3 linked regions of the Nothobranchius furzeri genome follow. The protein of the gene in region 2 purifies or fractionates together with the protein of the main gene of each other region. This does not show direct contact. Links are inferred from orthologs where the notes say so. Each region holds a gene or a part of one and is shown on either strand. Other genes may lie near its edges.

Region 1 (4,324 bases), on a different chromosome or scaffold from region 2:
ACACGCAACTCCACGCAGAAAGGCCGCAGCCGCGTTTTAGTTAAAATTTTCTGCCTAAAACTGATGGTGTTGTGTCGTCGGGTAAAAACTGCACTGCAGTTGAATATAAGTCTGCCATTGCTATTGGCTAAGAGGTACTCTAGAATGTTAGCTGGTACAATATGATGTCACAATGTCGTTATGAGCCTGTGTATTTGTTAGCGGCACGGTCTGCCAGGCAACAGCATTTGTTGCATTTTTCAAACAGGAAGTGGGAGTGGAGTAAGACTTTGGTAGGGGGTGACTTGCTCTTTAAGTCAATTTTTAAATAAAAACATAGAAGGAACTGAAAATAAGTAACTTTAATCCAAGGCCTATTCATGTAACAATTTAGAAGAGCACCTAATGAAAAGTTACCTATTCTTTATGCAGCTCTACAAATCAGCACTACATTCAAACAAATTATAATCAATTCTGTAATTTGTATTTGTTTATCTCTTATTTTCAATCTCTTTCTGCACCAACTACCACGGCAATCTCTTGCACAAATGGCAATAAAACCTTCTGATTAACCAATTTAATTCAGATTAACGACTAGTTAATATCACCCTGATGTGATTTTATTATTTCTGCATCAATCTCAGAAAATGTTTGCAAGTAAAATAAGTCTGGAAAACATTTGCTTTCATTCCAAGTTTATTTGTATCAAACAATTATTTCCTTTCCTGTAGCTGTGTCCTTTTTTGTTGTAAAAAAACCTCCAACCACCTCTTCTGAGGTCTTCCAGTCTTGTGAACATAAGTCTGCTGATTGTTGTATCTGAGATTTAATGGAAGATCTGAACAGTCAGCAGCCAGGTGGAGAGTCTTATACCAACAGAACTGCGTTTATACAGCCGTCATTTTCTGGGTTATTTGTCACCTGGGCGTATTTACCTGAGAAGCACATAAGATTAATTTAGATTTTACAGGCTTTTTAAAAACAAAGGTTTAAACGATGTCTAATAGATGTCATAATGACACTGAACAAAAAAAAAAAAAAGAGCTCACCCCAGATAACTTTTCCACCTTGTGTTACCAGGCCCAGCTCACTGACGTTGACCTCTATCACTGTTCCCTTTGTGATGACTCCCAGAGAGGTGTAGAGGGGGGAGGAAGGATTCTTCTTCACCCCGAGGATGGGGAGGCAGAATGTTGCTTTCAATTCTGGATGTGTTACATGAGCCTTCTTAAAACGTAATCCCTAAAAATAACAACATGGTCATTTAACAATTGGGCACAGAGTTTACAGCAATATACGACAATTAAATTTGACATAAAAACCATGAGAAACAGGGCTGTAAATGGTTCAGGACTTGAGCCACACAGTGATCCTACCATAGGTCTGATGAAACGTTCATACTTTGGGGGTTTTCGTGTGAAACCGTCACCGACAAAGCAAACTTTTGTGACCATCCTCTTCCAGGCCTTCTTTTGTCTCTTTCCGGTTTTGATAACTTTAAGCACCTCTGTCTCTCCTTGAGCACGAACCTTTGGCAGAGGCACCTCCCACTTACCCTACACAGAAATAAAGATGTTTGTTTACACAGTACAGTTATAATCATTTCAAACCCTCTATCAAGAAACTGAAAGATATTATTTCACTGAGGAACGTCACTGACAGCCAGCTTTTACTTACAGCCTTCTCTTTTCGCTTCTGTTTGATCATGTTGGAGAGAACCTTTGCACGAGACTGTCCCTCTCTGTCCAACAGGTAAGCTGGAACTGCACCTTTAGGTGTTTTGTCGTCATTCTTCTGCTTGGTGTTCCTCTGTTCGTGCATTTTGATGCTGAAAACAAACACATCAAGTTTATTTACAAGCGTATATGACAGGTAACGCTGAAGCCATTCATATGCCGCCAGACTCACGTCTTCTTCATCTGGATCTTCTCAGCATATCTTTGTTTGTGGTACAGTTTGGCCTTGAGACCAATCATCTTCCTGGCTTTGTGGGAGCGTTCATGAGCTTCTCGGCTCTCCTTCTTCCTTTTCTTCTCGTGGTGGTCCAGGCGATAGCCATGCCGCTTGCGGTGCAACTCAATGTGCTCGTTCTGAGGCTACAAAACAATAATATAGACATACGGGGGAGCTAGATTTGAGTTTTTGACCTTTAAACAAATACACTCTGCTTTATATTTGATATCTTCATCAAATACATTATTTTATCCCATCTAATTTAACGTAACTTTTCTAAATACAATTACTCGATGTATTTAAATGAGGAACACTCCTGACAGGGCAGTCAAAGGTCACTTGAACATCATAGTTAATTTGACATAACCAACAATGTAGCATACATACTCACACATTTATTTTATATTAAACTGAGCTAAATGTGTTAGGAAACGGAATAAATTCAGACTAGCAGATGGACTCAACACATGCGGACCCAAGCTAATTCTGCTAGCATGCTAAACAGCTCACAGAAGCTACAACGTACATTTTAAATGATTAATTTTCTCACCATTTTGTGTTCAAGGTGCTACGCTTAACAGAAAATACGGTATAGGTGGTTCAAGATGACGAAAACACAACTTATTTGGTGTTTTATGCTTCTGGCTGGGGCTTCTCTGATGTTGTTTTCCCCGAGCCGATACTTAGAGGAAGTGCGTCATCAAATTGCAACAGTTTTTTCCGCCGTCATTATCCGGTCCGCTGAAACAAAAAGCGATAAGTGGCGATTTTTAAAATAAGTGGTAGTTTTTCAATATTAAGTATTCATAGAAATATTATCAATTTACGTACGTGCTTATGGGGATTTTAAACCCGCGAATATAAATTAATTACATTTTTGTTTGCATGCGGAACTATAAATGTCATAGGCTAAAGGATCCAGAGGATGTATTTTGTGGTAGTAGCTGTAAGCGTGACTTTTGACTGGGTTTCAAGAATGTTTCTGTTCATAAGGATATTGTGACTTAAAAATTCAAAGTGCCGTTCAATATTTTAGTTGGTTGGTAACCAATGAGACATTTCTTCATTCAAATGCAGCTGGTGTGTGACGTAAAGGAGCTTTTATAACAGTAGAAATGTCTGTCAGAGCCTTACAGACGGTCAACAGAATTGTTTGGGTAAGATGTTTTATGTATTTATTTATTTGAATGCATGCTACCATAGACTGGTTGTGTTATTGACAGTATTCTGTCTACAGGGACGGCATTTATTAACTGCTGGACATCAGAGCTGCAGCTGCAGGTTGAGACACTATGACTTTCATCAAGGTATGTATCATATATGAACACACACACACATATATATATGCATAATCGTGTATTATAAGTTTATTTGTCACTAAAGTTCAATAATAGAGACCAACATGACTTGATGTGGTTCTTTCATTAAGGAAATAATGTGTTGCATCACTATATCTCAACTTTCTGCTCACTCTTGCAGATGATATCAAATCAGTGCGAACCGTGGTCAACCCTGATGTATCCAAGTAAGTTACAACAGTAGGAAACTAGATTACTACAACAGCTGTGACAAAGTATTTGATCCTTGACTGTTTTCTTCGGGTGTTACTTTTTTGTAGGACTTGAATGTTTATGTTTATTTATTTAGCAGACGCTTTTATCCAAAGCGACTTACAATTTATAACCTATAGGGCATGTTGTGATCTGTGGGGGAAACCGGAGTACCCGGAGGAAACCCACGCATGCATGGGGAGAACAAGCAACTCCACGCAGAAAGGCCGCAGCCGAGCCGAGTTTCGAACCTGCAACCTTCGTGCTGCGAGGCAACAGTGCTAACCACTGCGCCACCATGCAGCCCACAAAGTGTCTGAAATGTCATATCCCAACCGCCCCCTCTCTTTGTTTACTGGGAAACCTGGATGATGTCCTGTTTGAAACATCTTTGGCTCACGTGGTTCATATGCATCGCTAAGAAAACTATCCTCTTGAATTGGAAAAATAGAGAAAGTCTCTGCATCAACCAGTATAGAAATCTTTTGTTAGATCATATTACACTTGGTTTAGCCTCTGCTTCCACTTCAAATCAATCTCTCTGGGCTCCTTTTATCGGTTCCATCACATAGCGGTGATGGTGGACCATTGATATTGTCCTGCGAGATGATATGGGTGGGGGTCGGAGGGTCTGGGGGGCTGTTGCCCCCCTCTGGAGGTGCTTGGGTTGCCTCAGGGGGTGGACTACTGGCAGTTGTGAGTGGGGCCCCTTGGGGGTCTTGGCGGTGGCCATGGGTCACCGCCTGGCAGCTGCATTGCCCCTAGGCGGGGCCTTAGGGGTCGGGTCCGGACATGTATGCTGCCGGGGAGAAGGCAGGAACATGCAGCAGTGCCTGACTCGG
Region 2 (4,433 bases):
GTTCATGTTGGCTCATTTCCTTTTATGTTTTTTGTTTTTTAAATTATTTTATTTGTGCCTGATGCGTTTCGCTGCTGTGGATCGGGGTGCATCACCTGTTTTGTCCTCCGGTGACTCACCTAACTGATGTGGCCGGCAAGCAGCGCGCACTCCGCTGTTTTTGCGGTCGGTAAATCTTTTAGAACTGCAGTTCAAAGGTAACTCATAAGATGAATATATATGAAGCCAGGTAGCAGTTTTTCTTTAGGATTGAGAGGAGATGCAGGAAGATAATAAACAGGCAGGACAGAAAAATAGTCAAATAAAAACAAGTTAGTTTTTGTACCTGGTGGTTGCAACAAACAGACACCATTGACGGTAATCAGAAGTGAGGAACAGAAAATGAAATAATTATTTTAATGTTTAGAGCAGCAGGAACTCCGAGAGGCTGCAGGCTCATCAGTGAGTTTGCAGCCGCTGCGCAGGGGGAGGGGGCTGAAGCAGAAACTACCGTTGTTAAAAGAAATGTGTTTAACTTTGAAAACGTGGGCGCAATTTTAATTGTCAAAAACTCCAGCGAACCATTAGTTCATTTTGCTCAAATAGAAATTGAGGCCTGTCTCTAATTCTGGTCCTCCTTCCAATAAAGGCCTGGAGCTTGGTGAGCTTGGGTCAAATACAGGCCCAGGCCTGTATTAGAGGATTAACGGTATTTATCAGCAAAAAAAAAAAAGTTGATTTGAGGCTGACTTGCTCTTTAAGTTACTCTGAACAGAAAACAGAAAACAATAAACCTTCTTCAAATATTTCAGGTTCACCAGAGTTCATGAATGCAGTAAAATAGCAGCAGAATCTCACCTGCCAGCGGAGGTACCTGTAGTCCATGTGACCCACAAACAGAGACTTTGTGGTGAAAGCATACGGCTGGACATCAACGTCTGCCCTGGTGACCTAGTGAGGTGAACATTTCACATTTTCTTTAATGAAGAAGGGAAACCAGGCTGATTTAATACATTAGTTAGTACCATGCTTGGAAAGCTGGTCTCAGTCAACATTAATTATGAAAAAATGATCTCTGTAGCTGACCTTGTTGATGAAACTGGATTTGCCCACATTGGGGTAACCACACAGAAGCAGGGTCCTGGTGTTCGGGTCGATGCTCGGCAGACGGGACAGGTGCTGACGAACTGTAGGAGCAGGAAGTCAGATTTAAACCACAGGAATCTGCAGCAGAAACTGATGTTTAATCACAAAGTTTTCCCACTAACAACTCATCACCTTGCTCCAGATACTCCAGACTGGATTTCTGTCGTTTCAGGATGGTGCACATTCGGCCCAAAGCAGCTCTCTTCAGCTGCTTACACCGATACAAAGAATCTCCATATTTCATCAAGCGCACGTAGTCTTTCGCCACGCTGGAAGGTTATAAAAAACAAAAATCACTTGTTTGTAGAAATTTTGGGTTCTGTTGTTAGAATCACTGGTTGTTTAACAGCAGAACTCTACTGCCTAAATGGTCTTCTCTGTAGGTTTATGTGTTCTTACAGAATTTAAAAATCTTTAGCAAAGCAGAAAAAACCTGAACACCTCACCAACCCCACAGGGACAGAGGTTAAACTTAAACTGTCTGATTAATTTTGTGTTTGATTCATGTCGAAACCTCAGGATTGCTTATATGTCAATAACCCAAACAGGGTGTTGTAAACTGCATGATGCATGTTCACATTCTCTGAAGTCCAAACTTACTTATCAATCAAGTTTCTGGCGATGTTAATCTGTCCTAAGGCCAGCTTGTAGTGATCCTTGTCATACAACACGTTCATCAGATCAGCATAAAAAGGATGGATGTCCTGGAGAGACACACAGACCAAATTCACAAACAAATCCCAGAAATCAGACAATCAGCCTCCAGATGAGTAAAGGGCGGTGACCTACGTCGAGTTTTGGGAAGTCTGTGAGGATTTGCGTGAGCCGGTCGTGATAGTTCTGCTGGGTAAACTTTACTTTCCGCATGTAGAAGTGTCGGATGCGGTGGATCTGGTAATGTTTGTGGACCACCGTGGGCGTCTTCCTTTGTGTTTTGGATAAAGTGATGTCGATGAATTCCTGCAGACATGAAGAGTGCACTGGTTAATAACCTGAGACCACAAAGACAGTTTTTCTCTAAGACATTCTGTTATCCTGCAAGGTTCAGCCAAGCCTCTGGCTGACAGAAAACAATGTTTATCAAGTCATTTTTCAAAAACACTTCAAACTGAAACGTTTTATTATATGATCTTCTTTACTTTGGATTGGGCTTTTAGAACACATTTTAAGCAACTGAAACGCTTAAAATTACAAACATCTGATTAAAAAGCAGAGTTAGATTTTATTTACGACTACTGGTAGCTACTAGCTAAAACAAAAAATTGAGGAGCTCGTTACTTTTCAAACAGTGGTGTAATCATCCCAGACATTACGTAAACACGCAGGAAAACCTCGTTTAGTTTAATAAATCGTGTCCTATTCGTTTTAAGGTAAAAATCTACTGTTCTCGCAGATTTTCATCCAATGATCTGTTGCTGTCCCACGTGTTTTCGTTCCATTTAACTGTTTTCATTTCTATCAACCAACGGTCGTTTCTAACCGCGAGAGCATGGTCAAAGCCGAGTTGAAAAAGCGGAAATCGTGGAATAAAACTCACCTTGGCGGTAGGAACCACCATAATCTTTTTAAAGTTATAAAGTGCCATTTTGTCAGGACACGTTTAGGGCCACCGACGGCACGGAGAGGAACCGGAAACGAGTCAGTCTGAGACCACCAGCAGAAACTGGAAACTTTTCTGCTCGGCGCCCTCTAGCGGCCATAAGTGCACACAGCAATTAGAAACATGTAAACATCCCCCAAACATTAAAAAAGGGCTGAACTCTAAAATAAACAGCTGATACGCAACTTCTAATGGCATCATATGATTTTTTATTTGATTTTATACTTCCTGGTACTATTTAAGACAAAACACTCATACTAAAGTCAGCTAAAATTAGCTGTGCTCAAGTAAAATATTTTTGAAAGCCTATGCCAATATACTTTTAGAATATAACACGTCTATTAAAAGTCTATTTAAACATTCAACCAACCTTAGTGCACTTAGTAACTTAACTGGAAAAATTCTCAGCTGAACTTTGTTGCATACAAATAAATTCTGGTTAATTTAAAATGTAGAAACTCAACCTTCTCCTAGGTATTTCAATATTTTTAAGTGTTTTATTCTAATCTTTATGTGGACACCTTCACTTTTACTTCATTGCGTTCACAATGTGTACATTTTTATTTTTACATGGAAGGGGACGGAGGTACAATTTACATGAAAACCATCGATGAAAACATGTCTATGGGGGCGCAACATATTTGTTGTGACCCGCGCTAATCACCAAACAACCAATCGGAGTGCAGTGGTGTTTCAAGGCCACGCCTACACTCCTTGATCACGAGTGAGGTTCGCGTGCAGTTTGGACCAATCAGGGGAGCACACTGCAAGAACGAAGACGAAGGGGCGGAGGGTCGAGCCCCCTGACAGCTGCACCAAAGACATCCCAAATTTTAAGGAGGTCTCACTCCAACAGCTGGGGGTTTACCACGAAGAAGTTCAACAAAACTGGGATGTGGTATATTTTATTTATTTTTTATTTAACCAGATGATTTAACTCATTCTCATTTGCAACGACGATCTAACCAAGAGGCAGCAGCAACAGACAGACAATTTGCTTTACACAAAAGAAAAGCAGATAAGATCAAACAAACAAGAATAAAAAAAGATAAATCAGTTAGACATAAAGACAAATGACTGTTCTCATGTACAATATCTACAAGCAATCAAAACAGACTTAAACAATCTAAGTATTCAGAGGCAGGCACATTGATCAGAAACTACTGACTGCAATGAATTATTGAGTTTTGTGTCCACTCAGAAATAAATTGTACTATGATAATTGTCTTTGTTTACTCTGTCCTCTTTCTTCTTTGTGTTTTGTATTTTAAATGGGGGTGAGAAGAGAGGTAGAAGAAATATGATTTGGACAAAAGCACAATGTTGCTGAATTATTTGGGTGTACAAATAATTAATAATACATTTTATAAAACTAATAAATAAAATAGAAAATAATGAAGGAATTATGACATCTGCACTCTGTAATAAATGAGTCACTACTATGAACAAGTAATTGAAAAGAAAATAATTTGCAAAATAATACAAACCTGTAATAAAATAATTTGTAAAAATCAACCAGGGATCAAAGATGCATATTGGTTGGTTTATAAACAAGTCTTTAGGAACATTACTTAATTATAAATGGTAAATGACCTGTATTAAATATAAACCCTTCCAAGGTTCTAAAACCCCTCAAGACACTTTGCAGCGTAGCCAGTCACTCACCCACACACAGTCATGTGGTGTTCATGAGCTACAGTGTAGCCAC
Region 3 (4,377 bases), on a different chromosome or scaffold from region 2:
CGTGATCTTCGGCTTTCACTGGAGCGGTTTGCAGTCGAGTGTGAAGCAGCTGGGATGAGAATCAGCTCCTCTAAATCCGAGACCATGGTCTTGAGTTGGAAAAAGGTAGAATGCCTTCTCCGGGTCAGGATTGAAGTCCTGCCTCAAGTGGAGGAGTTTAAGTATCTCGGCGTCTTGTTCACGAGTGATGGAAAGCTGGATAAGGAGCTCGATAGGCAGATTGGTGCTGCGACTACAGTGATACGGGCGTTGTATCGATCTGTCGTTGTGAAGAGAGAGCTGAGCTGGAAGGTGAAGTTCTCAATTTACCGGTTGATATACGTTCCTACCCTCACCTATGGTCACAAGCTTTGGGTAGTGACTGAAAGAACGAGATCGTGCATACAAGCGGCCGAAATTAGTTTTCTCCGCAGGGTGGCTGGGTTCTCCCTTAGAGGCTGGGCAATAAGCTCAGCCATCCGGGAGTGGCTGCTCCTCCACATCGAGAGGAGCCAGTTGAGGTGGCACGGGCATCTATTTAGGATGTCTCCCTGGTGAGGTTGTCTGCGTTGCAGAAGCGTTTTTCTGTTAATCACCAGCAGATCGAATCTGGTGTGTTTAAGCAGAGAAACAACTGAAACCTGCTGGACAGCCCTCGAGGACCAAGACCGCCACCACCTGCTTTAAAGGGAGCTTGAATGTTTAGACCTTTTCAAATTTCTAAGTAAAATGTGTTTGAGGGAATGGTTTTAAGGTCAAACGCTGTAATAAAGTGCCAGGCCATCTTCTAATAAATGTTGGTTTGCACTAAATTTACTTGCAACACTTTTCTACCTTTCCTGTACATCAGTTGTGTAATCTGTAAAAATAAAGCCCCCATGAGGGAGGGCGGCTCCCCCTCCCCGCCATGCTATCGAGCCTTTTGCTTACCCAGAGTCCAGGACAGTCTCACACACACACACACACACTGTTACAAATCAATCTGTGCAGAAGCAGAAACAGAAAAGGGTTTTTGCTCTGGTGCAGTTTTATTTTATTGTATTTGCCTCCACCTGCTCCGGCAGAAACATGGCAGACCGCTGGTGAGATCAGATGTTCACATCTACATTGTATCTTGTTCTGCAGCCTCTTCCGATGGGTTTGTAATCAGGTTATTCTAATGTGATATGCACTCCGGCCCTGCTCAGTCCATGCTTTTATTGTGTACACGATCACAATTTACTTATTTTTAGTTTTCTTTGGCGAGAGGTCAAATATTTGTGTATGTTCGTGTTAGCAGGATGTTTTATTGTTTATGTTTCCAGACCTGCTGCAGGGATTCCACCGTGGACTCCAGCTGCTCTCGTTTGGACAGCTCCTCCTCCCATCTGCAACACACAAAGGTGGGTCAGTTAGCACTGGGTCCTCTTCCCCAAAGACCTCTCATATGGGTTCATGGTCCTTTCGTGGAATGATACTCCCATCTCCAATTACAAGGCTCTCTTGACAGTGTGGTGTCACCCCTGCTCCCTTCCTCTGTTTTCACTCTTTTGTCTTCAGCAGTTAAATAAAAACTACAGGGACGAATGGATGGCTGGTCTTTTACAAGCACAAACAAACATTGCTCATGAAAAGGCTTTTGAATGAGTAAGTATAGGGTGGAGATTCACTACCACAGACTGAATTCCTTCAGGTCTGAGGAGATGTAATTCTCATTTGCAACAGTTCAACATTAATAGAAGAGCCTGAAATGTGTCCAAACTGGAGTCACTTATTATGATAATGATGTGAAATAACAGAGAACTAAATAACCAATGGCTCAAATTCATGGCAAAGCAGATTTGTGTGAAACAGAAAAAGGAACATGCGTCTCTGTGAGGTTTCGTTCAGGATTTCCGCTAAATGCTAATCGTAAGCAGCTGTGATCAAAATAGAGTCTTCAATTAACCGAACAAGCATTGGTCTGAGAGGAAACTGGAGTAAGCGGGGAAAATCCACACATGCACAGGGAGAACATTCAACCTTTTTACTGTGGGGTGAAAACTTATTCATTTCCTGCAACTGGAAAGTTTATGTTGTCAGGGATCAATAGTTAGTAACAAAATTAGAGAATGTTTTTTTAAATTATCTATAATTATTTTTGATTGCAGCAAATTTAGTTTTTTTGCATTAAGTAAGCTGTGGTAGATTTCTCTTTTGTTTAGTCTGGAGTGTGTGTCTCCAATGACAACGAGTTTTTTGATAACAATGCATTATGTAACAACTAGACTCACACGCTATGGAACCGTCATGAGACCCAATACAGTGCAACAGCTATTTACTCAAGTGTTCTGTTTTTAAATCAGCTTTAGTGCAAAATGAGACTTTTTACATATTTGTTTTTGAAAACGTGAATCCCCAAAATATTGTCAAAGGATTATAATTATGTTTTAAGTAGGGGTGTGTATAGACAAGAATCTGGTGATATGATGCACTACTAACCCCCCGCCCGCTCACTGCTAACGCCGTAACACTTTTAAAACCAAGAGGAAATTTCTGATTTGTAAAATACACAACAGATCCTGGGTCAGTCAGGATCATGGCAAGGCAGCTTTGGTGAGCACGTTGGTTGACACCACAACTTTGATGGGGAAACAGTAGATCGTCGTTCAGCTCAATTTGACAGTACACATCCAGTGTCATCGCTAAATCTCATTTCATCACAAGAAGGCGATAAAAACTGCCAACAGTTATACTGTTATTTCAGTGTATTGATATTTTCTTTCACATACCCTAGCTTTAAGTAAGACCTTTAAAAAATATATATTTTTACTATGTAATTACCAAATTACTTCAAGCCTAAAACTTCCTAATCAAAAGACATTAAAATATGCAATTGAAAATTATCAGTTCTGGTTTTTACTTTTTCAGGAACAAAACAGAAATAAACCATTTATTATCAGATGAATGATAAATTTAAGTTATACAAAGCTCTTACTGCAAAATTAATATAGAAGACATAAAATAGACCCTATATACATATTTAAACAAACGTCTATGACATTTGTACAGGTTCAAATGACACAGCCTTTACATACCATGCACATATTACACATCAAACTCTTTTTTTCGTTCAAAATGTCGAAACACGTCTGATCCGAGGCAATGTTTTTGAGACATTTTTGTTTGTTTGGTGCAACTGGCCAAACTTACACTGAAATAATTGTCATAGTTTCCAAAGGTAAAGTTTAAGTTCAGGAGATATTTGATGTTAGGTACCTAAGATGATTTAGATTAGCTTATTTTCTTTATAGAAGGGGGGGTCAAGGCCTAAATTGGTATACGTATATAAACCGTATATGATAACTGATATACAATATAAACGTATATCAGTTTATATCAGTTTAAAACCCACAGATGGATCTTTAAGGAACCACAAAATGCATTTCACCTTGAAGTAATCAGCTAATTCAATCCCAGCGTTTTATTCAAACCAACATGCCAGCGTTACGATGATCGCAGAAGTCCTCCCCTGTGGAGCATTGCTGTCTCTACGGTATCTGATGACAATCACTCCACATGCAATAAAACAACCCCACCAACTGAGTCACAGAGTTCAGACCCAGTGTTGCTAAAAATAAAACACCAGACCCTCCAATTAGCTACTTAGATTCTCCTTTTGTCATTTCAATATTACGCAGCACACCAGCTATAATCATTTTTGCAATTTGTATTCCACACAGAAACCCAGAGGCTTTAGCTTGGTGCTTCAGTCGGGACTTTTTTAAAGTGGGATATAAAAACAGAAATGCTGAGTCAAACATGCCTCCCAAAAGATGGTTGGACGTGCAGAACGAAGAAGAAACTCATTAAGAAGTGACGGCAGGTTCAGACACCCATGTGGAGGATGAGTCACTGTGGGCCATACGGAGCAGGATTAATATAGGAAAAAGGGGGTTTCTGGGTGAGGCAATGGGAGGACGTCTGCATGCCAGATCACAAAAGTTCACTGACAGGCAGACATAAGGTTATCTGAAGCTGGCTGTCAGCATGGCTGGCCATGAATTAGAACATACTGTACGTCGCTTTCCCAGCTAAACTCTGCTGAATACTCCCTGTCTACTTAGAGGGAAGTATTCCTATGCAGAGTCTGCCAGCTCACTCTGAAACCTAAAAAAAAAGGCTGGCATTGGTGCTTCACTGTGTCCACAACACTCAGCCGGTCTGCCGCAGGACTCGGGCAGAGTTCACAGGAGTTCACAGCTGCACCGCTTCCTCTGCAGATGCATGCTCTCACAGCATTTACATCACTGGTGTTGTCACTCCTTATGAGCGCACCACGGATCTCACAGTTATCACCTGAACGGTGAGTGAGAACTGGAAAGGAAAAGTAAATGCACACGAGGGATGGGGAAGGCGTCTTTCCATCAACAATATGTC

Evidence for each region.
Region 1: the proteins of gtpbp4 (region 2) and nsa2 purify together in Homo sapiens (affinity purification with mass spectrometry; 3 studies listed by BioGRID and IntAct, counting the BioPlex papers as one, with this or other methods). This does not show direct contact. The link is inferred for Nothobranchius furzeri from reciprocal best matches to the Homo sapiens genes GTPBP4 and NSA2.
Region 3: the proteins of gtpbp4 (region 2) and mrto4 purify together in Homo sapiens (affinity purification with mass spectrometry; 3 studies listed by BioGRID and IntAct, counting the BioPlex papers as one, with this or other methods). This does not show direct contact. The link is inferred for Nothobranchius furzeri from reciprocal best matches to the Homo sapiens genes GTPBP4 and MRTO4.

Annotation. Positions count from the first base shown.
Region 1 is NC_091746.1:69,313,729-69,318,052, forward strand, and holds nsa2 (ribosome biogenesis protein NSA2 homolog), read right to left. Parts: upstream 2,640-4,324; 5' UTR 2,486-2,639; coding exon 2,483-2,485; intron 2,076-2,482; coding exon 1,888-2,075; intron 1,808-1,887; coding exon 1,657-1,807; intron 1,536-1,656; coding exon 1,356-1,535; intron 1,222-1,355; coding exon 1,029-1,221; intron 915-1,028; coding exon 847-914; 3' UTR 658-846; downstream 1-657. Other genes in the region: gfm2 (ribosome-releasing factor 2, mitochondrial), read left to right, coding at 3,048-3,089, 3,170-3,239, 3,412-3,457. UniProt on the Homo sapiens protein: Involved in the biogenesis of the 60S ribosomal subunit. May play a part in the quality control of pre-60S particles.
Region 2 is NC_091751.1:36,527,389-36,531,821, forward strand, and holds the start of gtpbp4 (GTP-binding protein 4), read right to left. Parts: upstream 2,809-4,433; 5' UTR 2,711-2,808; coding exon 2,663-2,710; intron 2,086-2,662; coding exon 1,915-2,085; intron 1,830-1,914; coding exon 1,726-1,829; intron 1,395-1,725; coding exon 1,258-1,394; intron 1,167-1,257; coding exon 1,066-1,166; intron 931-1,065; coding exon 838-930; intron 1-837. UniProt on the Homo sapiens protein: Involved in the biogenesis of the 60S ribosomal subunit. Acts as a TP53 repressor, preventing TP53 stabilization and cell cycle arrest.
Region 3 is NC_091743.1:63,496,818-63,501,194, forward strand, and holds the start of mrto4 (mRNA turnover protein 4 homolog), read left to right. Parts: upstream 1-1,283; 5' UTR 1,284-1,285; coding exon of another isoform or gene 1,286-1,346; 5' UTR 1,347-1,361; intron 1,362-4,377. Other genes in the region: iffo2b (intermediate filament family orphan 2), read right to left, coding at 1,286-1,346. UniProt on the Homo sapiens protein: Component of the ribosome assembly machinery. Nuclear paralog of the ribosomal protein P0, it binds pre-60S subunits at an early stage of assembly in the nucleolus, and is replaced by P0 in cytoplasmic pre-60S subunits and mature 80S ribosomes.